4 linked regions of the Macaca mulatta genome follow. The protein of the gene in region 1 purifies or fractionates together with the protein of each later gene. This does not show direct contact. Links are inferred from orthologs where the notes say so. Each region holds a gene or a part of one and is shown on either strand. Other genes may lie near its edges.

Region 1 (7,732 bases):
TGCAACCTTGGCCTGCAGGTTCAAGCGATTCTCCCACCTCAGCCTCCTGAGTAGCTGGGATTCATGGTGTATACCATCACACCCAGCTAATTTTTGCATTTTTAGTAGAGACAGGTTTTTGCTATGTTGACCAGGCTGGTCTTGAACATCTGGCCTCAAGTGATCTGCTGCCTCAATGTCCCAAAGTGCTAGGAGCATAGGTGTGAGCCGCCATGCCCAGCCCAACATTATTTTACTTAAATTCACAGGTGACACCTGGGAAAGGGGGAGGGGACAGCAGTCCACATGCAGTTGTCCAACGGTTTGGATTAATAAAAACTTTCTTTTAGCACTCACCTACGAACACTGGCAATGGTCTCTCTGTTTTTGAAACGACTGAAACGGGCTGTGTAGTTTAATGTTTTCATGAAGACTTCTGAGAGTTCCTGTTCATCCTCTGCACTCTCATTCTGTTGCTTTCGATGTTCCAGAAGCATATGAACTTCTGAATTTAGAAGTGTCTCAGCTGTTTCAAACTCTATTTGTGAGAAGCATAAATGGCAGCTGAAAATACTCCTTCAAAAGTTTGCTTCTAAATGTTCATTGTGCATCTGAATGCACAATGATCTCCCTGCAGAGATCCAGGGGTTTCCTACCCCACATCTACTTTTTTTCGAACTGTTATTTTAGGTTCAGGGTACATGTGCAGGTCTGTAATACAGGGGAAATGGGTGTTGTGAGGGTTTGGTGAACAGACCATTTTGTCATCCAAGTGATAAGCATAGTACTGACAGGTAGTTTTTCAATCCGCACCATCCACCCCCTCAACTAGGCCTCAGTGTCTGTTGTTCCCTTCTGTTCATATGTATTCAAGGTTTAACTCCCACTTATAAGAATGTGAGGTACTTGGTTTTTTGTTCCTGTGTTAATTGCTTAAGTGAATGCCTCCAGCTCCATCCATGTTGCTACAAAAGACATGATTTCGTTCTTTTATTTTTTTTTTGGAAACAGGGTCTCAATCTGTCACCCAGGCTGGAGTGTAGTGGCATGAATACAGTTCACACTAGCCTTGACCTCCCTGAGCTCAGGTGACCCCCCACCCCCACCCCAGCCTGCCAGGTAGCTGGACTGCAGGCACGCACCACCACGCCCTGTATGATTTTGGTAGAGACGGGGGTTTCGCCGTGCTGCCAAGGCTGGGATCTCGTTCTTTTTTATGGCTGCAGCTACTCACATCTTTACATTCACCCACAGTTACATATCACAAGGCAAAGTGGAGTTCACGAGACACTAACATTTAGCTTGTCTGAACTAGATTCTGACACCAAAAACCTGACCTAGACATGCTACTAAGTAGTGACACATATAGCCTAGTTACTGATTTCAAGAGTACACTGACAATTACTGCCCTCTAGCCTGCATCAGCTCATCATCTTCCTACTTCGATAATGCTAGTATTATACTCTCAATTTTAAGAATTGTTACGTGTTAAAAAGAGCCAAATGTCTAGAAATAAACATTAATAATGTACCCCCAAATCTATTTTTGTACCCACACAAATGTTATAAGCAATTTTTAAGAATTAGGTTTGAGAGAAAAAGAAACCCATGGCCCCTTTTCATAATATATGGCTACCTTCTACACTTCTAGAATAGTTCTGTTAAAAAATGCTGTTACCCCTTGGGAAAATCACTCTCTCCCTTATGTTCCTGCAGGATCTTATGTTCCTGATGTTTATCTCAAAATATTAGAGATCGTTTTTATCTGTCCTTCTCTTAACAGTGAATTCCCCTAGAGCAGGAACCATTCATAAACACGAATTCATGTTTATAATCCCTCACCGAAAAGGAAGCAACAGTGAGGAAAAGCCAGAATGACTTGCAATTTCACATTTACACGTGCTATAGGTCTGTTTATTATCGGGGAAATCACTAACACCTCCCTCAGAGTAACGCCTTCCCAATTCTCAAGCCGGGTAACTGACAAGAGCCTCATTCTCCTTTCACAACACAGACAGTTTAAGTGGTAGGTCAGGAGGAAAGTCTATTTTTATTTGAAAGGTACTCATTGCTACTGAATATAATAGGCTACCAATACAGCTGGAGCACTATTGAAATAAAATTAAAATCTAAATAAAAAAAATAGGTAACCAAAAGCTATTTTCTACCTGAGGGCAGGAGAGTTTAAACAAAAACCTCAGAACACCTTTTTCTGTCTTCCAGCCTATAACAGGGGATGTACTACAGTGAGTGCCTATTTGTATACCAGGAACTTTACTTCTTTTAATCTTTAACACTGAGGCACTGTAGGTACAGAAGAAACTACTGCCTCACAGCAATGAGTAGAGGAAAAGGCATTATATATCAGGACTGCAGGACCTCCAAACTCTGAAGCGACAGTAACAAATGACATCAGGCCAAAACAAAAAAGGGAAGAAGTAGCTAATCAGTTACAAATCGGTGTGTTGGAACTTTGATGCTTTTACAGGTCCTGGAAAAATCAATGTTAAGAGATGCATCCCAGGCTGGGCGCCGTGGCTCATGCCTGTAATCCCAGCACTTTGGGAGGCCAAGTCAGGTGAATCACCTAAAGTCAGGAGTTCGAGACCAGCCTAACATGGTGAAACCCCATCTCTACTAATACAAAAATTAGTCGGGCATGGTGGCACATGCCTGTAATCCCAGCTACTCAGGCTGAGGCAGGAGAATCGCTTGAACCCAGGAGGTGGAGGTTGCGGTGAGCCGAGATTGTGCCACTGCACTCCAGCCTAGGCAACAAGAGTGAAACACTCTGTCTCAAAAAAACAAAACAAAACAAAACAGATGCCTCCCTTTCTGCACTAAACCAAAATTACTTGTTAAATGGAAAGGAATGGAACTTTTAGGCCACCAGGAAACTAGTCAACTGTCCCTATTTCTCATTAAGAACAATATTCAAGTACTACTAATACATTACCCTCACTCCCTTCAACCAAGGAAGGTCAAGGCAGCCAAACTGTAACTCAGAGGGCCTAGGAAAGGGGTGTCTGAGACCTACCACAGAGCTTTTGGGAGGCATTCCCAGGATTCGCCATCAACAAAATGGGGATGGGGGAGGCAGTTCAGACACTTTTGTATAACTACAGAGAGGAGGAATCCAAGACTTCTCCCCATGGCTAATTCCAATAAACATTTTCAAGTGAAAGCATACACACACACACACAAAATTTATTTGGAAACAAAAGGAAATAGATCAGGGGATCTGCATGTTATTCTCTTGTGCAAATATTTTAAGAACAATGGCCATGGGCCGGGCGCGGTGGCTCAAGCCTGTAATCCCAGCACTTTGGGAGGCCGAGGCGGGTGGATCACGAGTTCAGGAGATGGAGACTATCCTGGCTAACACGGTGAAACCCCGTCTCTACTAAAAATACAAAAAAATTAGCCGGGCGTGGTAGCGGGCGCCTGTAGTCCCAGCTACTTGGGAGGCTGAGTCGGGAGAATGGCGTGAACCCAGGGGGCGGAGCTTGCAGTGAGCCGAGATCGCGCCACTGCACTCCAGCCTGGGAGACACAGCGAGACTCCGTCTCAAAAAAAAAAAAAAAAAAAAAGAACAATGGCCATAATTAATCCCTGTTGCTAAAAAAGGAAAACAATTCCTTGGCCAGTATGTCATCTGGAAATTTTAGTAAGGTTCCGTCATCACGACCATTAATAGGCCCGGTGCAGTGGCTCACACCTGTACTTTCTAACACTTCAGGCAGCTAAGGCAGGTAGACCACTTGAGCCCAGGAATTCAAGACCAGCCTGGGCCACATGCTGAAATCTTGTCTCCACAAAAAAAATACAAAAACTAGCCAGGTGTGGTGGTGTGCACTTGTAGTTCCAGGTACTCCAGGGGCTGAAGTGAGGTGGGAGGATTACCTGAGCCTGGGAAGGTTGAGGCTGCAGTGAGCTGTGATCACACCACTGCACTCCAACCTGGGTAGCAGAATGAGATCTTGCCTCAAAAAAAAAAAAAAAAAAATGCAGGGCGAGGTGGCTCACGCCTGTAATGCCAGCTCTGTGAGGCCAAGGTGGATGGATCACTTGAGGTCTTGAGGCCCTCATCCCTAGGAATACCCTTCCCAACCACTGCGTGCCTGAGAAAACTCGAGGCTGCCAAAATAATTTGTTTGTTCCAGCCAACGGCTGAAAATAGGCCTCTGTCTCTCCGCCTCGGTGGGAGGGTAGGGGCCTAACTTCGATAGATGCTGCAGTCAACAAACCAAGGTGGGTTCACACGGACCCTCCTCTTCCCTCTTTTTTACATTTCTCACTTCCCCGACTCCCCTGAGCCCCCGCTCACCACATCCTTATTCCCTAACTCTCCTTTAAAACGCCCAGAGGTTCGGTACTAATCGAAGTTGAGTTCGGTTCACGCTGGACTCTTCTCTCTAGTGCAACGTTCTATCCCTGTTTAAAAATCTGTCCTCACCACCTGGGTTTCCGGCTTTGTTTACCTTTGACACCAGCGCCCGGAACTTCGCAGTTTGTTATCACATAAAATAACCCAGTTGCCCAGGCGGCCACTCCCAGGTCCACGTTCCCTCCCCAGCCCTACGCCGCGCGGGGGTCTGCCCAAGCCGCCGCCGAGGCCAGGCCTTGGGCGAAGCGCGGATAACGCCAGGCCTGCGGCGACCACGCGAAGTGCCGCGGGGCAGTCTGGCGGCCCCGAGCCCAACCTTTAGGAAAGATGAGCTGTGAGGCGTCCTCCTCTACGTCGCCAGCCCGCGGATCGCCGCCACCTGCTGCCATCGCTGAGTCGCGCGCCACCACCAGCGCCGCCGGAAGCGGAAGCGCGGAGCAACGGCCACGGAAGGGGCGTGGTCTTGGGAGGGGCCCCGAGGGGTGGGCGGGGCCGGGAGTGTGAGGCTGGCGGGGCGCAGCGAGGGGACCTGCTGGTGTTGTCCCGGAGGCTCCCCGCCGCCCAGGGCCGCCCTGCACTCCCTCTCCTCCCTCGCGCCTCGCCGCGCAGACGTCCTGGGGTAGGTCCCTAGGCCTTTCTGGGCGGAGAGGGTCAGATGAGCTGCAGGAACGCCTGCTGATGGAGAGCAGGGCAGCCGACTCCGAACGTGCCGGGTCGAATTTCTTTCACTGACTTACACTTCTAAAATTTTATTCATTTGTGATGGATTATCTAATACTTCTGAGCACGCGGACAATGATATTCAGAGGCTTTTACCACACGTCTGTTGGAACATTTGGGTGATGCATAGAAAATTAAGCAAATGACGGCCGGGCACAGTGACTCACGCCTGTAATCCCAGCACTTTGGGAGGCCGAGGCGACGGGATCACCTGAGGTCAGGAGTTCGAAACCAGTCTGACCAAAATGGTGAAACCCTATCTCTACTAAAAATACAAAAATTAGCCGGGCATGGTGGTGGGCGCTTGTGATCCCAGCTACTCGGAAGGATGAGGCAGAAGATTCGCTTGAACCCGGGAGGCGGAGGTTGCAGGGAGCTGAGATCGCGCCACTGCACTCCAGCCTGGACGACAGAGTGAGAATCCATCTCAAAAAATATATTAAAAAAGAAAAAAGAAATGCAAATGAAAAATGATGCTGTTTTCTACACTGGAGAAAACGAAAGGTTGTACAATAAAGGAAATAATCGTAGCTTATTAGTCAACGATATCTTAGCTCATTAGTCAACAATGTTTAGAAGGTCATATTGTAAACTCTGTTGATTTAACAACAAATGAATTGGGCCGGGCACAGTGGTTCACGCCTGAAATCCCAGCACTTTGGGAGGCCGAAGCTGGAGGATCGCTTGAGCTCCAGAGTTCAAGACCAGCCTGGACAACATAGTGAGACCTCCTCTCTAAAAAATACAAAAATTAGCCTGGCGTTGTGGTGCGCGCCTGTAGTCCCAGCTACTGGAGAGACCTAGGCGGGTGTATCGCTTGAGGGATGCAGTGAACTATGATCGCCTCACTGCACTCCAGCCTGGGCAAGAGAGAGAGACCGGCCAAAAAAAAACAGGCAAAGTCCAGGCGCGGTGGCTCACGCCTGTAATCCCAGTACTTTGGGAAGCTGAGGCGGGCGGATCACCTTAGGTCAGGAGTTTGAAACCAGCCTGGCCAACATGGTGAAATCTCTCTCTACAAAAAAAAAAAAAAAAAAAAAATCTGGGGCGTGGTGGCGGGCGCCTGTAATCCCAGCTACTCGGGAGGCTGAGGCGGAGGTTTTAGTGAACCGAGATTGCGCCACTGCATTCCAGCCTGGGCGACAGAGTGAGACTCTGTCTCAAAAAAAAAAAAAAAAAAAAAAAAAAAAGCTTTAAAAAATTAAAAAGTAAAATTTTAAAACTAAAAAAAAAGAAATCCTTTAGAAGGCTGTCCTGGGAATCCTGTCTGGCCTGTGCAGCCTGACCTCCTGCGAGGGTTCCTCCACGGCGTCTTGCTGTGCCCGCACTGTGGTCTCCCTCCACCTGAGAAGTTCCCTCCTCCGGAGAATGCTCTCTTTGCTTCAGTCCTGCTTCTCCAAGGAACGTGCCCAGACCGCAAGGGCTGTCCACGCCCCCTTTCACGTGCTCGGAAAGGCTGAAGGTACCGGCGGGTTTGATGCTTGCGGGTGTTCCCCTGTACACCCAGCACTGAGTGACAGGCCAGATAACCACAGCCGCCCAGCGACTGCACCATGTGTTGGGGTCTGGGCAAAACATTTACTATGTTTACTCTTTTTCCCTATGACTTCTCTAAGGTCAGGTTACCTTAGAGATTCACAGTCCTGTCACAAAGTGGGAAATGCCTTATAAATGGCAGGACCAAGATTTGAGCTTAGGCCTGTGGGACTGCCAGCCAGAGATTCCAGCTGTCATCCGCCCTGGGTTATTTCTTTGGTTGGGAGCCAGGATGTGATCACAGAATAGCCATAGTGGGGGAAGGGGGTCTGATTGGCAGCAGGAACTTGAGGGACTGATGGTGAACTGGAGACCTCTCTTTTCTGTTTTCCAATAGCTTTGAAATTGGAGTTCCCCCCCCCCACCCCAATTTTTCAGGGCATACAGAACCTGTGTGAGTAGAAATAATGCATAAGCGGCAGGAAGAGAGACCCTCGAATTCTCGTCTGAGCTTGATTTTAATGAGGAAAACAGACACAGAAGGGACAGGACTTGCATTACATTCCTCAGGCTGCTACTCTGATTCTTGTACGGTACTGGTTGAGTCAAGCCCTTCAACCAGCCCACTTAGTAGTTCAGTCAGATTATTCAAGCCAAGGTTACAGACCTAGATTGATCTAGAAGCAGCTGTAGAGCACCTCCCCCACCTCCACTCCCACAATTAGCACCACTGACCCGATCAGATGGTTTATTTCACACTCCAGAAGTCAACAGTGATGGCTAAAATCACAAATTTTGCTTTATCACCAATCACCCTCTCCCCCAAAATCAGTCATAGGGAATTCCATGCTGTTTAGTTACAGGTAACATGGAATGTAATCTCTAGAACATTAATTTATATTGAAGACACGAATTCCTCTTCAGACACACCAGTTATTAACAAAGCCTGTAAACATCTAGCCAGCTGCTGGTAGTCAATTTTCAAAATTACCTAACCCCGACAGCATGTTTTTATCTGTAGCCATGTGTTTTTGAGCTTTGCTAAGGGCCTCAGAATTGAGAACCTTAAAAAAAAAAAAAAAAAAAAATTCTACCTCCCTGCAAATAGTGTCAACTGCTGATCTTTGGGTGGGTTGGTTAGGGGGCTGGAGCCAGGGAGGGACAAGCAGGC
Region 2 (6,750 bases), on another chromosome or scaffold:
TTACCAAGTCAAGCCCCTGCCCATGGCGTTATTTCTTACATATTTTTTTCTTATGTAAGTACTTCTTAGCAAGAAAGAAAATAGGTTTAATAATGTTTACATTTTGATCATTGTTTCTTACATGTGTTGCCAGAGGAAACGCTTATAGTTTTGTTTTGAAAATGAAATTCCTGTGGAAAGGGCATTACAATGCCAGCCCCTGTCATTTCTAGCCCTCTTATCCCCGAGCTCATCTGCAGTGTGTCAGGTCTGGCTTCTCTAACCAAAAAAGGCAAAGAATGTGTAAGCCCTGCTCCCTTCAGCAGATTGTCTGGGTGCTCCGTGATGGGTGGAGTTCATGGTGTCAGCTGGATCCACAGGAAGCAGGGAAATGTTATAGACACGTTTTCTCCTGCAAGTTTAGAGAGTCTGTGCAGCAAGATTCCAAAGCTTTGCCAGGAGCGTAAATCCTAGGCTTTATCTCAGAACTACACATTGGGCCTTACCCTCTACATTGTAAACATTTCTCGACAGTCAAATAAACCCAGGCAGTTTCTCGAAGGTGCCTGCCACCTTCTCCACCTCCCCTTCTTGAGGATCCAGACACAGGTTTGCTGCAGCAAGTCAGATATGATTCTTCCCTATTCAGGGCCCCCTCAACACCCCACGGCTCTTCTGGGCTGGAGCAAGGTTGCCACAGTAGATACTTGCCGCTGAATGGAAGTCCCACCTCAGTCCCCCACCTCTCAGTATAAATAATGCATGCACTGGAGAGGAATAGCAACCAGACTGCCTGGGCTTGCCTTGTCTTCTCTTGCATAAGATTGGTCGTGGAGGAAAGGCACCCTCTGAAGATGAGAGTACTGGAGAGAGCCTTGTGCACTGTGGTTGAGAAGAGTGCGCTGGTCGGGAGAGGAGACTGATGGGCAAGAACGCTACAGTAGGGTCATCCTGCAGCTGTAAATGGCACGGGACTGGAGCTCTTGAATTCCAGTTCTAGGCAAGGAGCGTGGGTGTTGGATGAAAGGCTTAGTCCTGTGTTACATACAAGAATAAAGTGTCTGAAACAAGAAGCATGTGACCACCTGGGCACATCATTTTTCTCCCTGAGTGGTACTTGGTGTACTAAAGAGATCATGGGATACAGCACACTTAGACGAGGTAGAAGAATCTGAGTGGGTTTCGTCACGTTGGAGTTAGTTTTTGTGGGATGTGGAAAAGAGGCCCGGATTTCTTCTGAGAGCAGGAGTAGCTGAGGAGCCCTCTGGCAGCAGAGCTCGTGAACTGCACTTGTGTGAGAAGGCAAGCTGGTAAATTGAGACACGAGATTCTTGGATTTTCCTGAGACCTTTCTCCTTCATCTCTCGAGACCCAAAGAGAATAACCTGAAAAGGCAGCTAGTGAGGATCTGCAAGACCCAACTGAGAGAGCTTAAGAACCGGAGAATTCAGAGGCAGGTGAAGGCTGGAGTTGTGTTTGGGGGAGTTTTGTTTGGAATCACTCCTTTGGCTCACTGCAGTCTCCGCCTCCTGGACTCAAGCAATCTTCCCACCTCAGCCTCCGGAGTAGCTAGAACTTATAAGCGTGTGCCACCACGCTTGGCTAATTTAGCATTTTTTGTAGAGATGGGATTTTGCCATGTTACCCAGACAGGTCTTGGACTCCTGGGCACAAGTGATCCACCTGCCTCAGCCTCCCAAAGTACTGGGATTACAGGCGTGAACCACCTTGTCTAGCCCAGAGTCACTGTTAATTTCTTTTGTTGGTCCATGGCAAGGTTTGCAGATGACTTTGTTTGGAAAGCCTGAATCTGTTTGTAAAAGCAGGGGTGGGGAGTGGGAAATCACAGTGTTACTACTTGAGTCTATTTAGTGCACTATAAAAATTACTATAGCCTTAGTGTAACCTAATGAGAGCTTGCCATGAATTCCAGCCTGCTTGCCTCTCTTCAGGAAATTAATCTGGGTCATTTGACTGTCCCAGTTAAACAGGTACATGTTTTAACAGTTTAAAAGGCAATTGCTACCTGTATTTGGTTATTCCGAGTATATACCCAGTTGTCCTTGCCGATACATTTAAACCTCTTAGCCTACAGATCTTTTCTTTGTACAGCCTCAGTGTTTTGTGTTTTTTATTTTTTTGTGGAGACAGGGTCTCACTGTAGTTCCCAGGCTGGTCTCGAACTCCTGGCCTCAGGCAGTCCTTCTGCCTCAGCCTCTAAAAGCACTGGGATTAAAAGCATGAGCCACCGTGCCCAGGCCAGCCTTGATGTTTATTAATCCTTTTCAGTGACAGTCTCACTGTCACTCTTGCTTTTCTCTAGTGATTCCTTCCTCCTACGCCTGCTCTTACAATAGGCGTCCCTACGAGAAGAGTCACCCAGTGGCATGTAGAGCTCTGGGCAGGATCCGTCCACTTCCAGAGTGGCCTGAAGACTGGAACACATTTCTTTTTAGTTAAATGAGTTTCTTCGGTAATGTCCGGAATATAATATCAGCCTAAGCATGATATATAGGAATCCCCTGTACCCCACCCTATACCCCCTTCCAAACAGAAAAGCGTTTTTTGGGTTTTTTTTTTTTTTTTTTTTTTTTGACATGGAGTCTCGCTGTTGCCCAGGCTGGAGTGCAATGGCGCAATCTCAGCTCACTGCAACCTCTGCCTCTCAGGTTCAAGCAATTTCTCCTGCCTCAGCCTCCTGAGTAGCTGGGATTAACAGGCACCCGCCACCCCACCCAGCTAACTTTTGTAGTTTTTAGTAGAGACGAAGTTTCGCCATATTGGCCAGGCTGATCTTGAACTCCTGACCTCAGGGGATCTTGCCCGCCTCGGCCTCCCAAAGTGTTGGGATTACAGGCGTGAGCCACCGCATCTGGCCACAACTGGGATTTTTAAGAAATTCCCTAGGAGAAAGTTAGTTGAACTTAAAGTGGTGTCTAATTAGATCAAAGTGCCTTCCATTTTAGCTTCAGTGAACTTGCCAGGTTGGTCTGATGATAACTCAAGAGTAAGGAGTCTTGGATTCTGATCCCAGCTCAGCTTCCAGAGACTCGGTGGTTTTCAAACTGTTCTTGAGAGACTCCTTCAACTGAAGGGCTCCCTAGTTGCCAAGAGTGGTTGGCTCTGAGTCGAGGTGGCTTTGATTTGTCAGCTTTGGTCAGAGAATTCAGGTGGGGGCAGGAAGTCCCTGTTGTGTAGTTGTTTTGCCATTTTACCCTTTTTGTACCTTCAGTTCAGGAGAAGTTTATTAGATGAATCCATGTCCAGAAATAGAGAATTAGTCACCTTCATCCTATATATTAATTTCCCTTGAAGTATAAACAGCCAAAGAAGAAAAGTACTTGTGGGAGAAAGGGGGTTCAGATCCTCAAATCTGAAAATAGTTTTCAACTTCAAGAGTGTGAAAGGTGACTATTAACCGAAGTCTTAGTCTCAGGAGTTACTTCATGTGGCATGCTTATGCCTGATGTTATGTTTTAGATATGGCTCCTTCATTCGGCACATGTGCTGGATGCCTGCTGTTTGCTGGACACTGCAGAGCCTGGTGGATGCTGGGGGAAGCAGATGGGTCTCGTCCTGGCCTCCAGGAGCTTACTAGTTAAATGTGGGAGTCATTGCTAATCATTTACATAAGTCATTGTTTAATTTTAGTTGTAGTAAGTTTACAAAGGAAAGAAATGGGCTGCTAGGAGAGCTCACTCTCTACCGTTTTCTGTTCCTTTGTGGACTGCGTGAGGAGCTGTCCTTGTGGATGGGAGACCGATTGCCTGCAGTAATGGGGAGAGGATATTCCTGGTTCCCTCCTCTCACTCCTTGCTTGGACTTTGGTCTTTACAACTTGAACTAAGTATTCTTCATTTGACCTTTTTCCTGCCTCATTATTCTTCCCATTCTTTAGCTTCTGCTTTCTGCCTCTTCAGGTGTGCATCAGGGATCTGGTATCAAGGAATTTAGAAGCTGAAAAGAAGTGTTATGGTCCAGTTCCCTCACTTTCAGATATGGAAAAAGGGAACACATCCACGGTCACACAGCAGGTTAGAGGTAGAACCAGGACTAAATCTAGGTCTCTGCCTCTCAGCCCAGTGCTTCTTGTTACATTCCTGCAGGAAGGGCTTTCTAAGTCAGCAAGGGCCCAGCCTCAGGGACCTATTTACCCTTGCAGAGACACCAAGAGGACAAAAAATAAGCCCAAGGGGGCCGACAGCCCCAGACTTCACATGGCCTAGGGTTGTTTTCTGTATATCTTGGCAGATGTATCAAGAGTACCTTTTACTGGGAGCTGAGGAAAGAAAAAAAAAATGCCCCATTCCTATCATTAGGGGATTCGTATTCTAGAGGAACATAGAAGTCTCTCATGTGTGGAGAGAGCATAGAGCAGCTTGCTAGGGGCTCAGGTACACTCCCTGTGTGAGGGGGAGCTCTGGAGCAGGAGGAGATGGGGAGTCGTTTCCTGGATGCAGAGCAAGGATTTTCCTAGAGAGGTGGAGTCCAGATAGTCCGAGGGCAGAGGAGCGGAGGCCAGGCTTTCCTAGGGCTAGGAGAAGAGAGAGACCCCTCCAGGCTCGCAGGGAGTCCTGAAAAAATGGTCCACACAAAGAGGGTTAGGAGGTTGTGAGAAACACCTTGGCAGGGGCTGATTTTGCAAGACCTTGAGCTCTGCTCTGAAGGACCAGATCACGGAGCTAGTGGGTGCCGTGCCTCACTTTCTCAAGGGAGTGGTTTCATGAAAGCTGGGCTTTCGGGAGAGAAGTCTGATGGCATTTTAGGAGCCCTAGGGGTCAGGAGGCCTCACCAGGGATTTACTGTAGTGACTCAGTCATGGAATGAGGAGGCCCTGGTCACAGGGAGTAGCAGTGGGGTATTTTGAGCTTCTATAGTGTTTGTTTGCAAAACATGATAAATTTAGGTTAATATCCAACCTTTGACATAGAAAGTATAACTTCACTGTGTTTTTTCTAGCCGTGTTTAGGTGGAGTCCGCAAAGAAATTGTGAAGCTCAGGTGTCTGTATTTTATTGTATAAGGCATTTTGAAACTTTTGAGAACGGACAAAAAGAGAATGCAAATACTAAGTGTCACTTCTTTTTACTTCCAAATCTCAACCCTAAGTTGAATACCATTTAATTCACTGTTGCCAATATTGTACTCTACGTTCCTTTTTTGATAGAAAGTTTTGCCTTTTGAGCATTTGAAGCCCTAGCTTTGTGATATAGCTGAACAGGGTGAGCAGGCTGGTTGGGACAAGGAAGAACATGAGGATGGGAGTAACTGCCCCAGCTCCAGCAGCACCCAGGCCCTCAGCACGCACAGACTTAACAGTATTGTATTCTCTTTGTCTCCTTAGGAATACAAACAGAAGCTTGCGCGAGTAACCCAGGTCCGCAAGGAACTGAAATCCCATATTCAGAGCTTGCCAGACCTCTCACTGCTGCCCAACGTCACAGGGGGCTTAGCCCCCCTGCCCTCTGCTGGGGACCTGTTTTCAACTGACTAGGATGGGTGTCATGTCCCAGATTTCTGTTTGTACCAGCAGAAAGAAGAGGTCAAGTCATGGTTGGAAATAACCTTCTAGCCCCTGGTTCTATCCCTTCTTCCGCCCAGCCCCCCAGCCTCAAGAAAGAACCTCAGGCTCTGATTCTCCTCTTCAGCCTCTCATCTTGAGCACAGTTCAGAACAGTGGCGACTGGAATCTGGTTTATATTCATATTTGCAAAGACTACAGACTTTTTCTCCCACTTCATATTTTCATGCGCCCCTGTTGGTTTTCCATTCTTAACTCTCTCCTTATACCTAAGAAGTTATGAAGATCATGTGTACTTCTGGAAGCTTTCAAAAGAATCTTGTCGCTCATGACAGCATTTTGTCATGAAAGCAGCTTCTCCTTTCTGAGCTGGGCTTGTTCAGGTTCGGTGTGGGCTTCCACTAAGGCACTTGTCCTGGAGATGTTGGCTCTCCCAGCTACATCTGCCCCAAAAGGTTGGAGGCACAGCTGTCGTAGCATTGCCATAAAGAGTTTGCCAAATCTCTGATCCTCCCTTTCCATTACTTCTGCTAGTGATGCACAAAGATTATAGGTGCATTTATTTTGTAAACAGATTGGAGAATCTAGCAATAAGATTCAAAGCTAATCTGGAGCATAAAGGCACAGTTCAGAGACAGAGTAACAGGGAACACAAGCATGAATTAAAAGTAATTTATTTGCTTCAGTTCCTAGATACAACCTTCCCACACCGCACTGCTCCACTGTCGGAGCACGTTCTGAAAAACAGGATGCCTTGATCCCTGGTGGGTGCGAAGGCAGTTGTTAGGGGTGGCAGACATTGGTGGGCTCCAAAAGATGAAGGCCCCACACACAGGTGTGCTGCATTTGGGCTCTGTGCGGGTGTTACTTGGACCCTTTCTTCTGGGAGTAGGGTACACACTAACGTTTAATCCACTGTCTGGGTGCATGTCCACAGTATGGTGACTAAACTCGAGTATCACTGCAAATAGGACGCTGAGCAGGTCCGTCTGTCAGGTCACACCACTGCACAGGTCCTTGTCCCCACACGATGGGGAGTACTTGCATCAGATGTTATTGAATAGCTCGGGCAGGGGAAGCGGGGAGTTGGGGATATTAATTGGGGGTTTTAATTCTATTATCATGTCAGCTGACATTATGACTATATAATGTAGTTAGAGACGATTTTTATCTTGCTTATAGTAAAGGTTCAGCCTGCCAATTGTAAATCATTCTAATTTGGCAGGCTTATTTTTGACATTGGAAAGGGCA
Region 3 (7,847 bases), on another chromosome or scaffold:
TTGGTTCAGCTGCAAACAGGTATAACCTGTAGCATTCGTTGTTTCTCTCTTTAGTCTTCATTTCTCCATTGTTATTTATATCTTTTTCTCTAGACCCTGCTGTGAAAATTTGTGTCCTAGACACTTATTTTTTGTTTGATAAATTATAAAAGAATAGTTTGCCTATTTTCATTCTGAAGTGTGAATAGCCTGCAAGTAACCTGCTTCTGTTGTAGAGTGATGTTTTCCACTTGCCATGCCTCTTGGTTACTGACAAAATTAGACAGTTTGTGCTTGGATGCTGGTAGGAATTCAGATTTGTATTATGGTATCTTGAAGCCCTAAGCCATACTGTATAAAAGATTCTATCCCAAAGCACTGAAAATATCTACACAGTAATTATGATTAATTATGTAAAAAGTCTAAGATTTGTATTTAAGAAACATTTCATTAAGAGAAAGAGGAATATGAGGGAAAGGTAGAGAAAAAAATATGAGAGAAGGAGATTGTGTCAATTAGTACCTGCTATGTTCCTGAGAGGAGAAAGAAAAAGTACAATTATAGCTCCCTCACAGAAAGGACTTTACTTTTGTTAGGCAAGGAAAAAGAAATCTTGATGCATAACACAATTAGAGAACTATAATATGTTTCATGCAGTGAGGTTCCAACTTTAAGCCCTATAGTTGTGCTCAAAAGAAAGAGAAATTTAGTTTGGAATAACATAGGAAAGTTCAGGGAGGAGGTGAGACTTGAGCCAAGACTTATAATTGGCAAGGGGAGGAGAGACAGCCTTCCAAAAAAGGGTAACAGAAGGGGGCAAAATTCTGAGGCCTGAAAGAAAGGCATCCTTGCTTTGGGGACACCTGTGGCCCACAATCAGCGCCTGGGGAGTTCACTACTGTGGGGGAAATAAAGGCCTCCAGCTGGGGTCCAGGGTGGGGCAAAGGAGGCTTGTGGGGCTCTCACCACTGTAAACCAAAAATAAAATTTGAAGGCCCCCCTCAACCGTCTGAATGAACTTCCTCCTCTAGTCCAGGGTCCTCCAAATTTAACCTAAAAGACTGGCTTAGGCCATGATGGGAAGGGGAGGTCAGACATGCCTCATTATGCCCTTCTTTCTTTTAGAATCCAGGAAAAGCTGCACAGCATTTAATATCAACATCTACCTTAAGTCTGATAAGAAACACTTACAACTTACTTTCTCTGAAGCCTGCTAACTGGAGGCTTCATCTATATGATAAAACTTCGGTCTCCACCACTTCTTATGGTAACCTAGATGTTCCTTTAAATCAACTGCCAATCAGAAAAAAATTTAAATCTACCTATAACTTGGAAGCCCATCTTGCCCCACACCTGCTCTGCTTTGAGTTGTCTCACCCTTCTGGATTAAGCCAATGTTTATCTTAAATGTATTTGATTGATGTCTCATGTCTCCCTAAAATGTATAAAACCAAGCTGTGCAACGACTGCCTTGGGCATGTGTTCTCAGCATCTCCTGAGGGCTGTGTGATGGGCCATGGTCACTCATATCTAGCACAGAATACATCTCTTCAATATTTTATGGAGTTTTTTTTTTTTTTTTTTTTTTTTTTTTGTTGACACCACAGACAACCAACTGACTCGAGGAGCTTACCTATTTCTCATTCAGCCAATGCTGGAGCAGGTTATTAACATCCTTGAAAGCAAGTCTTATACAGAGAAAACTTATTTTGATATACTAATGAATCTGATCTGAATGGACTAGATTGGGGGGATAAAAAAATGGTTGCAATTGTGCTCCCTGGAATAGCTTTGGAGTTTACCTAGATCTTCTGTCTCTTTGGGATGGAGCTGCTTGTGTTAATATAGCATCTTACATAGGATTGAGACAACTTCAATTTCCTATATAAAAAAATCGGGGGAGGGCAGTGGTTTTGGAGGTTATGGGGGTGTTCAAACCTCCCAAGTGATATCTGCTGTGACTGCATGTCTTCCTACTGTTTCCATTGGGATGCATCTCTGGTAGGTGAACTATAACAAGAAACTAAAAGCTGTGTCCAATACTTACTAAACTGTCTTCTTCTCAACAGCTGGGGGAAAGAAAAAAAAAAGTCTTTTCAACAATTTTGCACATTTGGAGATAGGCCTAAAGTGAAGAAGGGAATTTTCAAATTGGTGTGTTGGAAAAGCCGCTGGGCTTTTGGGTTTGAAATCTGGTGCTGTCACTTACTGGTTTTGTGCCCTGGGAATATTTATTTCAGTTTTCATGACTCTTTTTCTACAGGCAAAGTAGAAAATTATAAAAGGTCCTCAACCAGTTTGTACAGCTGCTCCCACTCCCTCATCACCTCTTGTGGGCCTTTGGAAATGTATGTTGGGGGAGACATTTTGGATTTTTGCAATTACTTGGGAGTGCCATGGCACCTAGCAGGCAGAAGCCAGAAACACCAAATGTCTTAACAATGCCTGAGGCAGTGCCACAAATGAAGTCCTGCTCCAAATGCAATGAGCCCCGAAAAGAATTGCTGATTCTAAGGAACCTTCCAACTTTAACATTTCAGGACGTCCCTAAGCTGAGCTAGGAGGCACCACACACAGGCCGGAGTCTCCCAAATCCTGTCCCGCACTCTCCTCTACCTTATTAACGGCCAACTCATCTTTCAGGTTTCGACTTGTATTTCACTTCTCAGAGATACCTTCCCAGGTGCCCACCCCAACGTCACTATTATATTATTTGATTCTCCGTCCCTCCGTCCCCCGCGCCAACTCTGTAAACCCCAACTATAACAGAGGACGTGGCTCTTTGTTGACTAACACATAGTGCTTGGTGAGGTCACGCTGGCGCCAAATACTTTTTGTATAAACCTATGAACAGCTGACAACCGGATGAATGCTCACACGAGGGGAAAGGGCGCCAAACCCAGGCGCCGGCGTCCTCCAACGTAATTTCCGCCCTTTAGCGCTCCTCCGGACGCCCCCTTCTCCCGGTCCGTGTTTGTTTCCGGCATTTCAATAAAGCTCGATTCGGCTCGAGGAAGACCCCGTTCTTCCGGGAAAATGGCGACTCCCGCTCGAGCCCCGGAGTCACCGCAGTCCGCGGATCCGGCGCTAGCAGCGGGGCCTGCCGAGGAAGCCGAGTGCCCGCCGCCGCGCCAGCCTCAGCCTGTGCAGAATGTCCTCGCTGCCCCGCGGCTTCGAGCCCCAAGCTCCCGAGGACTTGGGGCAGCGGAGTTTGGTGGAGCTGCGGGAAATGTTGAAGCGCCAGGAGAGACTTTTGCGCAACGAGTAAGCTGGGGTCCCGCGGAGTCTCCGCCAGGCTCCTTCAGCTCGAGCTCCCTGGGCGCTCCCCTCCCCTCCCCCACTCTGTTTCCTTCCCTGGAAGGTGACCTTGCCTCAGTCACATTCGCCTCAGTCCTACGGGCGAGTGGACGGAGGGCTTGCTGTCGCAGAGCCGTGCCTCTTCCTGGCCAGGCACGTAGGCCTGCGAGGATGGCTCGGACTGAACGGCTACTTATTGTTGCAGGCAGTTAGTAGCCCCTCGTTGGTTTTATTTACCCGGGGACTGTGTTAGTTCCATGAAGCAAGAGTCTTCATTCTAAACCCTTTTGTCGCCCGCACCCCTAACCCATAACAAATTGTCAGCTTCGTCTCTGGATTCTACGCTTACAGGAACCGTAGGAAATGGGAAGAGTGGGATATGAAGAGGCGTTTATTAGGCCGGGAAAGTTCGACCCCCAGTCAGCTGGTTGATTTAACGGATTTTAGCAAGGGAGCCACGTGATAAAAGTGATTTTGTTTTTCAGGCAGCTTTGTTTAGCAGCTTGTTGCAAAAGATGGTTTGAAGGAATAAAAAGCGGGAGACAGTAGATGGCTATTTTCAGAGAGGCTCCCCACGAGACAGTTGTAAGAAAGTGAACTAGGAAGGGATTGGGAGAACTTTTAAGCATAGAGTCATTTAAATGTAGTTGACAGAGATGGCTGAGTTTTCCAATTTGTATGGAAGACCACTAGCAAAAATAGGAATATTCAGGGAGAGGAATAGATCCGTGGTTGATTTTACATAGGGTGTTCAGAGTTGAGGGGAGAGCGGGACAGACATTTGACTAATTGAAAACCAAACACTTAAAAGCTGGAGAAGTTGTCATTAGGCTCAAGAAAGAGAGAACTCTGGAAAAATATAGAAAACATAGGAATTTCAGCTGTAGAGTGTTGTTAATAGTTGAAATAGTGGGAATGAATGTAGTGTCAAAAAGAACAAAGGACCTAAGATTTTTCTCTCCATTTATTGTATAATTAAAGAAAAGAGAATCAAAAAAGGAACTCTGTCATCTAGCAAAAGGGACAAATAAATAATTGATTGGGATCAAGGCAGGTGTTTTTACCTTGTGAGAATAGGTTTTTAATCTGTAGTAGTGAATTAACTTTTTGGTCTCAGGACTCCTTTATACTTTAAGATTTTTTGACATCCCGAAGAACTATTTTATGTGTTCTGTCTAGTGAAGTTTATTTACTTATCAGAAATACAGCTGAAGTCTTTAAAACATAAGCATACACAAGCACACATTCTATTCTAGAACAATGATGTCATCATATGTCATGTAGCCACTGGAAAACTCCGCTGTACCCATGTGAGAAAATGAGAGGGAAATAACATCTTAGTATTATTATGAAAGTAGTTTTAAAATAATAGGCCCATCCCCACACTCCACCCCATCCCCAAATTGTGGGGATTGCACTTTAATGACTGCTGGTTCTTAGAATGTCTTATGTGATTATTACATGCTTAAAATACTTTTGCCGAAATTCTAATTTGCTGAGACAAATGAGGCATATATTCCCTATTCCAGCATTCCGTTGTTTTTTTGTGCTGTTTGGATAATGACCGTTTTATTTGTTTTATTCCTGTTTTGGGGCAGTTAGAAATCAGATATTTGACTTAAAAATCAGCTTTTCTTTCTTTGAAGATAATGCTTTGCCTTTTTAATGTTATATGTCAAGTTAAAAACATGGCTGTAATGTGTATGTATTCTTTTCCATTTGACAGAAAATTCATTTGCAAATTGCCCGACAAAGGTAAAAAGATCTTTGACTCTGTTGCCAAACTGAAAGCTGCTGTTGCAGAACATGAAGAAGTTAGAAGAAAAAGTGAACTGTTTCACCCTGTTAGTTTAGACTGTAAGCTAAGGCAAAAAGCAATTGCAGAAGTTGATGTGGGTACAGATAAGGCCCAGAATTCTGACCCGATACTTGATACTTCATCACTAGTTCCTGGGTGTTCCTCTGTAGATAATATCAAGTCATCTAAAACAACCTCACAAAACCAGGGACTTGGACATCCTACTCATGAAGGTGATGGAGAGACTCCAGAGGTTGAATACACAGTGATTAAGGGCCCAGCTTCCAGCAACAGAGACAGGGTACCGTCTTCATCTGAAGCTAGTGAGCATCACCCGCAGCGTCGTGTTTCAAGTCAAGCAGAAGATACTTCCAGCAGCTTTGACAACCTGTTTATTGACAGGTTACAGAGGATCACCATTGCAGACCAAGGTGAACAACAGTCAGAAGAAAACGCAAGTACTAAGAACTTGACAGACCTTTCTAGTGGGACTCAGAAGAAGCCTCATTACATGGAAGTGCTAGAAATGCGAGCCAAAAATCCAGTGCCCCAGCTGCATAAATTTAAAACCAATGTGTAAGTACCATCGGAAACAGGCCTATAACAGGAACATGATATTTGTTAAACTCAAAAAGTTAAGAGAAACTGGGTGTCGTGGTGCTTGCCTGTAGTCCTAGGCTACTCAGGAGGCTGAGGTGGGAAGACAGCTTGAGTCCAGGAGTTGTAGACCAGCTTGGGCAACTTATAATAAGACCTTTTCTCATAAATAAGGAGAATGCTCTAAGTTCCATGGGCTTTGTATGAGAATTACTTGTATTTAGGAAAGAACATATTGTGGAAACACTGAGACCAGCCTGGCTGGAGTGGAAGGTTCATGCTGAAAAATATTTAGTTTTGAAACTAAGTAATTGACAGGGTCTTAAATAGCACTTGGGGGAATATTAAATTTCAGGACGCTTAGCCAATATTTCATAATAAACACAGAGTTGGAGAGAATTTATTATGATGTCTTTTTTTCAGAACTATTTTTTAGTGTACAGCTCTAATTAGTGTACTATCAAAGTGTACTCTCTTTGATTAGTCTGTGAACTAAGGATAAAGCAATTGCAGGAGCTGATCGGCTTTCCAGCAAAAATTATTTGTATGCTCACTGAATGTAAGCAAGCAGCAGGTGTTGTGGGGACACAGTGAAGTCAAGATTCTTAAACTTCTTTGCCTTTTTGATGTTATACCTCAAGTTTAAAAACATGGCTGTAATGTATACATGTATAATGTAATACAACACCATGTTCTTCAAGGAGTTTCAGAGCTAGATGAGGACACAAGGTTTACACCCTTGGAAAAGAGTTAAGCTACATAATAACAGTTTCAGGGGGAAGGAAGCTGAGGAGAGTTTGAAAAACTGAAAATAGATTCAGGCAGGATAGGCAGAAACTCTCCTTATCAGTTCCTTGCCATAAATTTGTTTCTGAAATTTCAGGAAAAGTAAAGTCTTTTTGAAAATAATTGCTATTTACTTGCAGCAAATGTAACATTCAACTCAAAAGGTACCTTCCTATACTGTATTTACAAGTATGTAACATCAAATACAAAGTTAAATTACTACTACCTTTCTTTGAAAAACAGAAAATCTCTAGTGAAAAGTGCCTAACACATGCTTCTTTTTTGTTAGACTTTAACTCTACCCCAGCATTCATTTTAACCGCAAAACATTTTATTTCTGCCGTATAGAAAATCAGGATTATACTGCATTAATGTGATCAAGTCATCTCTTGTGTACAGTGAGGTGTCTTTCTTCACTTCCAGGATGACATTTTAGGAAACTAGAACCATCATCTAGTCAATAAATACAACAAAGAATACATTAATCCCAGTTCTGTATTACGGTCATTTAGCTGGGAGTGGGAGAGAGGTAAGGGAATAGTGATGAGGGCTACCAAGAATTCAGGAAGTTGAAGAGACAGGGAGCCTTCTGTATAGTTAGAGGAGAACAGGAAAGACAGGGCTTTGAGGAGTCCTTATGCCATAGACAAGGATTTAGAGGGTTCCATGTGAGAAGTGGCTTGGAGGTTGGAAGGTGGGGTCATTTAGTGTCCTTGGGTCCTTTCTGCTCTTCCTTCTGCATACTCTTCTGGTTTCATGTATCACCTGGATGCTGGAGGCTGACCCCTGTCCACCTCTATCCCAGATCTTCCCAGAACTTTAGGTTTGCATAGCCAATTAACCATGAAACTTGACCACTTGGGTGTTCCTAGGCACCTCAGCTTAATCATGTACAAAGTGGAACTTCTGTTTCTTTCCAAGGTAATTTCCATATTTCCTAATAGGACCACTACGTTCTTTGTTTTCTTCCCCTAAGGTATCTTCCATTTTTCTCATCTCCGTATCTGCTAGCCATGAAGACCTACTTATTTCTTTGATCTTCATCTCTATAATTGTTCTTCATCTTCTGTCGAAGTGAAGACTCTCATCTCTCTCGGGCTATAATTGTGGCCTCTTCTACCTCTAGTCTTATTAACTACCAGTCAGTCTCCACTGCTGCCAGAGTGAAATTTGTAAGATGGAAATCTGAATTTGTTACGGAGAACTCTTCATTGCAGTCTGGGCCCAGCCTACTTCCCAGCCTTCTTTCTGGCTGTCTTTTCTGTGTAGCCAGAAAAGCTGAGTCTCTCTACCTTCTGTACTTTCTCTCACTCCCCTTGCTGGGATGCACTTCTCTCCTTATTTAAATGGTAAGCAGTTATTCCAAGACTCTTCAAAGCTTTTTAGAAGC
Region 4 (7,768 bases), on another chromosome or scaffold:
TAGAAAACCAAAGTCTTAGCCTACAGTTTCAGGGAAGAGGGGGAACTTAAAAGATGATCACTTTATAGTCAAGGGAGAACTATTTTTTTTGGAGTCAGCAACCACCAGCTAGTAAGGCAGCCGGGGGCCAGGGCCACAGGGTGGGCTGCCACACACACACACACACACACACACAGCTCTAAGTCTCTGGTATTTTGTTAAGGTGGGGGTAGTCACTGAGACCTATGCTATGGAGCCTCCTACGGAGGGCTGCTCTCTAGGCCAGGTAAAGTCTGGGTGAGACAAGATAACGTTCCTTAATGTGGCCCTGAATGAATAAAATGTGAAGGTCCTCCCAAATGCAGCAGCAGGCTAGCAGGTGGACTTCAAAGCACAGTGCCCTGTCCTGTCTCCCTGCATTGCGGCTGTTGGGGTCTAGGTTTTTCTGGCTAATCTACAATCCAGGAAAGGGCTGATTTGGCTGTGAAGGTCCAAATGAGAAAAGATTCTCAGACTGGTTTGTGCAAATGGTTTTTTTTTTTTTTATTTCCACATTTATATCACAAGGTGTCCACTTACTGGACCAAATAGCAAAGTTGCTCCCTTCTGCGTCCTGAGAACACAGAAGTCTAGGTACTGTACATTCACTAAGGCTCCTTGTTTTTGCAAATCGCGTTTATGACAAATAACCATAAGGCAAACGAATCTAAAGGAATGGTTATGAGTGTTTCCAGCGTACAGACAGGTCTCCCCCTCGCCCCACAGTACAGCATAAAACCAGTAGCACCCACAGTCACTTTTGTGTTGTTTTGGGAGGACTCTAGAAAGGTGAAGTTTTCTAGATGTGTACAGGAAGGGAAAAAAGAAAGGGAGGAAGAAAGGAAAGGTTTTTTTTTTGTCTGGTGGTCTGATGGAAGGAGTTGTTAAAATAAACATGAAAAAACTTAAATTTTTGCAGCATTTCTTTAAAAACGGGGTTATAACTGAAACCAGATATAAACAGGTGGCTGCCCATGGAGTGTGGGTCACCCTGGCTGGCCAGCTGGCCCGCCTGCCCGATGCCAGTGGCTCACCACAGCTGAGAAGCTTCTGGCACATGACGGACAACACTGACCTGACAGTGGCTGGGTAGGGAGCAAACAGAGGCAGCATGGCCCACTGTCTCACAGACACTCAGGGCCAAATTAAAGAACAGAAAATGCAAGAGAGATGAGATGCGTGCTTCTGTTGCTGTGTTAAAGGTAACCTCTCCACAGGTTTTCTGTGCCTGCCTGCAACTGAGGTCCCAGCTTTCAGGTGCTGGAAAGTGTCCGCACCTCTTCAGGGGTGAGGGACTAACGCTTTTTATAGCTGGTTTGCTATAGAGTTCTGAACTCACTTTGCCGTCCTTCCTTCCACGCGGTCCTTCCTTCGCAATTTTGTTAGTAAACTGGTAGCAGCATTTCACAAAAGGAGAGTTTTGAGGGAAGAGTGCAGAGAGACCGCGTGACTCCCGCCCCCTCCCTCCTGCCCGGGCCGGACTCCCCGAGTTCCCAGTGCAGGAGGCAGCTGGGCCCCGGCCACCCACCCACCTGCCTGCCCGCCCGCCCGGCTTCTGCAAGATGGGAATGCACTTCGTGGCTGACGGGCCGGTCAGTCCAAACAGACATAAGGCAGAATGTTCAAGCGCCCGTCATCGCCGTGCGGATCAAGTGATATGCACTGCGTCCAGTCATACCAGTTACCCTGTGTGTCCTGACACCCGTTCACCCCCGGCCACTGGCTGGCCTGGATTCTGTCGAGATCGTCCTGTGTGATATCCCGGGTCAGCCCGGGGAGGTCTGTGGGCGGGCTTTGAGGCACCAGCACGTGCAGCTGCCTGGCCCCTTGCCGGGTGCTCTCCTCCTGCTTCAGGTACTCAGACATGAAGTGGTGAGCCCCCGGGGTCTGCGCGCCCGACGATGAGAGCAGGCTGCTCTGCCGGCTCAGGTAGGACTGGATGATCTCGTTGCGTGACAGCTCCTTCCAGTTCGTCTGTTCAAAGGGGCTCTGGAGGCTGGCCTTGGCCTCCTGCTTGTCCAGCTCTGTCCTGGACTGCTGCTCCATGTGCACAGGGCTGTCTGCCCGCACTGGCTCTTTCTGGGTCAGAGGTTTGATCTGTCTTGTCATGGGGTCAAAGGTGAGCTTCCGCTCTTTTAACCGGACAGGCTTGACGCCCGCCTCAGCCACCTGCCCGTCCAAGTTAACCGTGTAATCTCGAGGCCGGTACCTCTTCTTCTTTTTACTGTCCGAGCCCCCTGAGGAGGCAGCGTCACTGTCCGCCTTGGAGGAGTCTGGGGAGAAGCCCGCCCGGGACAGGAGGGGCTCGGCTGGGGACAGCCCTGCCTTGCAGCCCGGCCCCGCCAGCCGCTGGTGGCTTTCCGGCTGCTCAAGCCAGCGCACTGGGCTTTCCGCACTGGGCAGCAGCTCAAGCCGCCGTACAGGGGGTGTGGACGGCTGTGCCAGTGGAAGCGGTGACGGCACCTGTGTGGCATCGAGCGCCTGGGGCCGCGGTGAGGGGCTGGGCACGGAGCCCTTGGGTGCATACAAGCTCTGCTGCCGGGCAAAGGAGCCCTCATGCCGTGAGTTCCGAGGACTGAAAGAGCAGCGAGGGGGCCCCTTGGGGTGGGGAGGCCCCGGAGTCTCATCCACCCTGTCCAACTGCTGCAGCACCGAAGCCTTTGGCTGCAAGCAGGGTCCAGGGGGCTTGCCCAGGCCTGGGGAGCTGGTGTGCGGCCGCACAGCGTTGATGGGGATCTTGCCACTGTGCTTGTCGTTCTCGCCACGCTCCAGGCGGCCGCCCTCTGGGCCTGCATGCCCACTGCCATCCAGGGAGCCAGGGAAGCTCTCTGGACTCCCACTGATGCCATTGGTAGGGAGGGGGGATGAGTTGGGGACCAGGGGGTCGTGGCTAGCTTTGGAGACCTTAGGTGGTGGCCCTGGGTGGCCGAGGTCACGCTGGTCACCCCTGCGCTTGCGGCTGCCCAGCCTGTCCAGCCGCTGCCCGGGCAGCCTCTGGAGGTCATTGCGGCTCTTCAGGTCATGGATGCTCCTGGGCGGGCCAGCCGCCCCCACCTCCGGCCGGCAGTTGTGTGCACCCCCGTTGGCAGAGCCAGTGGCCCCCGCCAGCCCCCGCAGCGCTGCCTCATGCTGGTGCGCTGGCTCGATGAGCTTCTGCCAGCTCCGCAGCAGCTTCTTGGCCCGCTTGGCGAGCTCCTCGTTCTTGGTTTTCTTGCGGACGTCGTTGATGAGCTTCCCAAGTCGTGTTTCCTACAACCAGAAAGAGAGATGATGACATACTTTCGGGACAGGGACTTCCCCATGAGCTGAGCCAGAAATGGTGGGAAATGGCCCTGACAATGAAATGACCTGGTTCCCACTGAGCCCTAAACTGCCAGCCTCCCTGGCACAAAACTCCTGGGGATTTCCGGTCCTTTGTGACAATATAAATTCTCAAACCTAGTCCCCAGACCTTCAGAGTCCCAGGTGGCTTCTCAGCAGTGCTGTCCCGCAGGCTCCTGGTGCCAGGGGGCTGTCAAGGCCACTGTAAGGACACTGCCAGGGAGGCTTTCTGGATGAGAGGGTGCTGTGGCCAAGGCGGCAGCACAGAGGGTCTGCTTCAAGTGGAGGGTTGGGGACGGCGCCTCTCATTGGAGCCTCCCCCAAGCACACCTCTCCTGATGTCCCCATGTCCCCACGTGCCCACGTGCCCATGAAGTGTGCTGGGCAGGTAGGATGGGATTAATGCCACTTGGTCACTGCAGTGGCCACAGGAGAGCAAGATCACGGGGCACAAGCTGTGAGGGCACACCGCCTCTCTTGGTCCTCTGAAGCAAAGACACACGCTCCTAGAAGCTGGGGAAGGAACTGGGTTGGTGCCGTCCCCTGTCCCCCATTCTGCACTCCCAAATGCTGGGGTCTGGGATACTCACCTCAAGTGCCTCTTTGGTAATGGGGTATTTCTCCAGGCTGGAGATGACTTCCAGCACCGCCACCATGTTCCGGATCTGTGGAAATAAAGAAAAAGCCATTTGTCAGGTTCCTGCCCTTCTCCCCTGGGAGGCAGGGACACCCTACCCCAGCCTGCTCCAGTCTCTCCCCAACCCCAGAGCAAGAGGAGCTGGCAGCACTGAAGCCCCCACTCCATGTAGTCTCCTACCTGCTCCCCAGGCCAACCTGGCGCCCAGTGCTCATCCTCACCCGCTGTCCGACCTCCTCCAGTGTGTGGTGTGCGGTCTGCTCCAAACCCTCCAGTGTACATGGTACATATCCACCCACCTGCTGAAACCCAGGATGCTTGTGAAACAAGAGCTGCTCCTGATACTTAAAATGACCTCTACTCTGCCATCTGATGGGAGTGGGAGAGGAGACACTGAAGAATTCATCGAATAAAATCCACAAAGCTTAAAAGATCAATACATAGGCTGGGCGCGGGTGGCTCACGCCTGTAATCCCAGCACTTTGGGAGGCCGATGAGGGCGGATCACGAGATCAGGAGTTTTGAGACCAGCCTGGCGAACACAGTGAAACCCCATCTGTACTAAAAATAAAAAAATTAGCTGGGTGTGCTGGCATGCGCCTGTAGTCCCAGCTACTCGGGAGGCTGAGGCATGAGAACTGCTTGAACCCGGGAGGCAGAGGTTGCAGTGAGCCAAGACCACGCCACTGCACTCCAGCCTGGGTGACAGAGCGAGACTCCGTTAAAAAAAAAAAAAATTCAATACATAATAAACCAGTCGATTTGAATCCAAAGACACCATAAAGAGAGCAGAAAGTCACAAAGTGGGAGAAGGCATAGACCACAAGCCCCAAGGAGCTGTATCTGGAACACACAGAGAATGCCTGTGCAGCAGTGCAGCTGACCAGGAACCCAGCGCACAGTGGCTACAAGACAGGAACAGGCACTGTGCAATGAAATGTCAGCGCTAATGCTCAGCTTCTCAGCTTTATCAATAATTAGGAAAACTCAAACTGAACCCACAAATGGATATATGATACACGCACCCCACTGACAATACTAGGTACTTCTGGGGGTACAGCCGACTTTGGGAACGGCTGGACTTTGTCTGGCAGAGTGAAACATGAACACATCCTATGACCGAGTAATCCCACCCTTTTAGGATCTTGCTAGGAGCCACACCTTGTTCTAAGCACTTCCCACACATTACTAACTCCTTTAATTGTTACAACAAGAATTCCTACCGCTCAACCGCCACCTCCAGCAGCTACAGGTTTCTGGTGGGCTGGCTGGCAGGCGGGAACCCAGGGGCCCTGAGGAAACCACAGTGAGTAGATTACACAACTCCCCCCCACCCCCACCCCAACATGATAAAGGAGTTAAGCAGGCACATGATACAAATTAAAACAGCGTAAAAGGGCACACAAGGAAATGGGCATCTCTGACCCAGCCACTGTAGCATTACCTTGCATTTTTTTCCAAAAATATCCCTTGTGTATGCAGGCGTATACATCTACACTTGTCACATATTTCAAAACCAAACTGACCGTGGTTCTTGCCTTTTCTGACTTAACATCAGCAATGTCCAGCCTCAAACAGAGCCCCTCATTTGGCTCACCATCCCTTCCAGAGTGGGGAAGGCCCGACTTGAATGTTGTGGGACACTTAGGCACTTTCTGTTCGCCATTACAAAACAAGGCTGCAACTGACGGCAGTGACAGACTTGACTCTGGGCTAATGCACAGACAGCCGCGGGTGAGCCGGGGCTTCACATCCATGCAGGGTGGTCACCTCGCCCCCAGGGAGGCTGCTCCATTCCATTCCCACCAGGCCACATCCTTGCCAAGACTGCGTGGCATGAGTTTCCATAACACGTGATTGTAAACTCAGCATCTTACACAGCACACATTTATCATCTCAGGCTCTAGGGCTCAGAAGTCAGGTCTCGGTCTCACTGGGCTGGGATCCTCTCTGGAGGATCCATTTCCTGCTCCTTCAGGTGTTAGCAGAGTTCAGCTCTTACTTATTTTTTTGAGACGAAGTTTTCCTCTTGTCGCCCAGGCTGGAGTGCAATGGCATGATCTCAGCTCACTGCAACCTCCGCCTCCTGGGTTCAAGCAATTCTCCTGCCTCAGCCTCCCGAATAGCTGGGATTATAGGCACCCGCTACCACGCCCAGCTAATTTTTGTATTTTTTTAGTAGGGATGGGGCTTTCACCATGTTGAAGGCTGGTCTGGAACTCCTGACCTCAGGTGGTCCACCCTCCTCGGCCTCCCAAAGTGCTGGGATTACAGGCGTGAGCCACGGCGTCTGGCTGAGTTCAGCTCTTTACACTGCAGGAATGAGGCCCATTTTCTTGCTGGTTGTCATCCGAAGCCATTCCCAGCTTCTGGAGGGCACTGCATCCAGCTCACAGCCCCTCCCCTTATGCCAGCTACAGGCCGAGTTCTCGCCCGGCATCTCTCTGACCCAGCCAAGATAGGTGCCATCTCTAAGGACTCCCTGACTAGGCAGGGCCTGCTCAGATGATCTCGGATCATCCCCCCCATCTCCAGACTGTTCCCTTAGTCACATCTGTCATGTTCAGTACCACATGCCTGGGCTCCAGGACTAGAATGTGGACGTCCTTGAGGGCTGTTAATTCTGCTGGCCTCATGGATTCTGGCTTTTCTACTCTTCTGCCCCACTTCCAGGGCAAGGCAGCCACTGCCCCTCCCTCCCTTCCCCTGTGTTGTCTCCTCTGGGTGTAAAGTTGCAGAGTGACCACAGAGCCACGACAGCAGTCCCTGCAGAGCTCCCACAAAGCTGCCCCTCTGCCAATGGGCCCATTTGCTCCTTGGCAACAACGGCCTTGCCTTGCAATGTTCTCATTCAGGGCTCCAAATGACCCTGAAAACCCTGCTTCAAGCTGCATCATGGTGGGGGTGGGTGGGTGATGAGAGAGGAGATGCAGTCCTGTCCGCACTCCTCATGCAATGGGCAGGGATCAGTGCAGGGGAGGACTGCGCCATTAGGAGGCCAGTCCCAGACAGATAGCAAGGCCAACCACACCCTGGCCCAGGCACTCCAGCACCGACTCAGTCCCTGGGCTTGCCACATGGCTTCACCTCCACCCTGCTGACCTCACCCTGGTATATTTGGAGCCTTGGTTCCCCACATACTCCTGAAGCAGCAGTCCTTGCAGAGCAGAACACTGCCCAGGCCCAGCTAGCCTAGTGGCACAAAGTGTCCTTGTCCTTGGGCAGACACCATCCTGCTGCCAGAAAGGAGGGAGGAGACAGAACACCTGGGCAACCCCAGGGTCTGGCACTGAGCTGGTGCCCCAGAAATCACTGCTGAACCAACAGCCAGCCCCAAGAGTCTCCTGGAAGCTGTGTGGGAGCTGGGGACACCAGGCGAAGGTCTGAGGGCCCTGTGACTGGGTATCCTCACCCCTGGCCCCTCCCCTGCCTCATGAACCATGCTTAAGTGTGTGCAGAGAGGCCTTGAGCCTCTAGGAGCCCCAAGGGAAATGCTACATCCTTGGCAGTCCCCTTTCTGTCCCCAGCATGTGAGCCGCTCACCTGAGGAGTAGAGGAGCCCGTCTGCTGTACCTGTAAGGTGCTAGAAACCTACAATCCTACGCCGTAAACAGATGAACTCTGCCAACACCTGGCAGGGCAGGAAACGGATCCTCCAGAGAGGAGCACAGCCCGCTGCTGCCTGGATCCCAGCCCAATGAGACTGGACCTGACTTCTGAGCCCTAGAGCCTGAGATATTAAATGTATGTTGTGTCAGACACAGAGAGAGGGTGAGTGCCCAATGCGGCCAC

Evidence for each region.
Region 2: the proteins of POLR2D (region 1) and RPRD1B purify together in Homo sapiens (affinity purification with mass spectrometry; 3 studies listed by BioGRID and IntAct, counting the BioPlex papers as one, with this or other methods). This does not show direct contact. The link is inferred for Macaca mulatta from reciprocal best matches to the Homo sapiens genes POLR2D and RPRD1B.
Region 3: the proteins of POLR2D (region 1) and POLR2M purify together in Homo sapiens (affinity purification with mass spectrometry; 3 studies listed by BioGRID and IntAct, counting the BioPlex papers as one, with this or other methods). This does not show direct contact. The link is inferred for Macaca mulatta from reciprocal best matches to the Homo sapiens genes POLR2D and POLR2M.
Region 4: the proteins of POLR2D (region 1) and MED26 purify together in Homo sapiens (affinity purification with mass spectrometry; 3 studies listed by BioGRID and IntAct, with this or other methods). This does not show direct contact. The link is inferred for Macaca mulatta from reciprocal best matches to the Homo sapiens genes POLR2D and MED26.

Annotation. Positions count from the first base shown.
Region 1 is NC_133417.1:9,416,564-9,424,295, reverse strand, and holds the start of POLR2D (DNA-directed RNA polymerase II subunit RPB4), read right to left. Parts: upstream 4,772-7,732; 5' UTR 4,755-4,771; coding exon 4,682-4,754; intron 518-4,681; coding exon 337-517; intron 1-336. UniProt on the Homo sapiens protein: Core component of RNA polymerase II (Pol II), a DNA-dependent RNA polymerase which synthesizes mRNA precursors and many functional non-coding RNAs using the four ribonucleoside triphosphates as substrates.
Region 2 is NC_133415.1:90,949,007-90,955,756, forward strand, and holds part of RPRD1B (regulation of nuclear pre-mRNA domain-containing protein 1B), read left to right. Parts: intron 1-5,322; coding exon 5,323-5,472; 3' UTR 5,473-6,750. UniProt on the Homo sapiens protein: Interacts with phosphorylated C-terminal heptapeptide repeat domain (CTD) of the largest RNA polymerase II subunit POLR2A, and participates in dephosphorylation of the CTD by RPAP2. Transcriptional regulator which enhances expression of CCND1.
Region 3 is NC_133412.1:35,008,137-35,015,983, forward strand, and holds the start of POLR2M (protein GRINL1A), read left to right. Parts: upstream 1-3,001; 5' UTR 3,002-3,130; coding exon 3,131-3,243; intron 3,244-5,002; coding exon 5,003-5,650; intron 5,651-7,847.
Region 4 is NC_133424.1:17,071,322-17,079,089, forward strand, and holds MED26 (mediator of RNA polymerase II transcription subunit 26), read right to left. Parts: upstream 4,341-7,768; 5' UTR 4,259-4,340; coding exon 4,157-4,258; intron 4,005-4,156; coding exon 3,930-4,004; intron 3,268-3,929; coding exon 1,612-3,267; 3' UTR 498-1,611; downstream 1-497. UniProt on the Homo sapiens protein: Component of the Mediator complex, a coactivator involved in the regulated transcription of nearly all RNA polymerase II-dependent genes.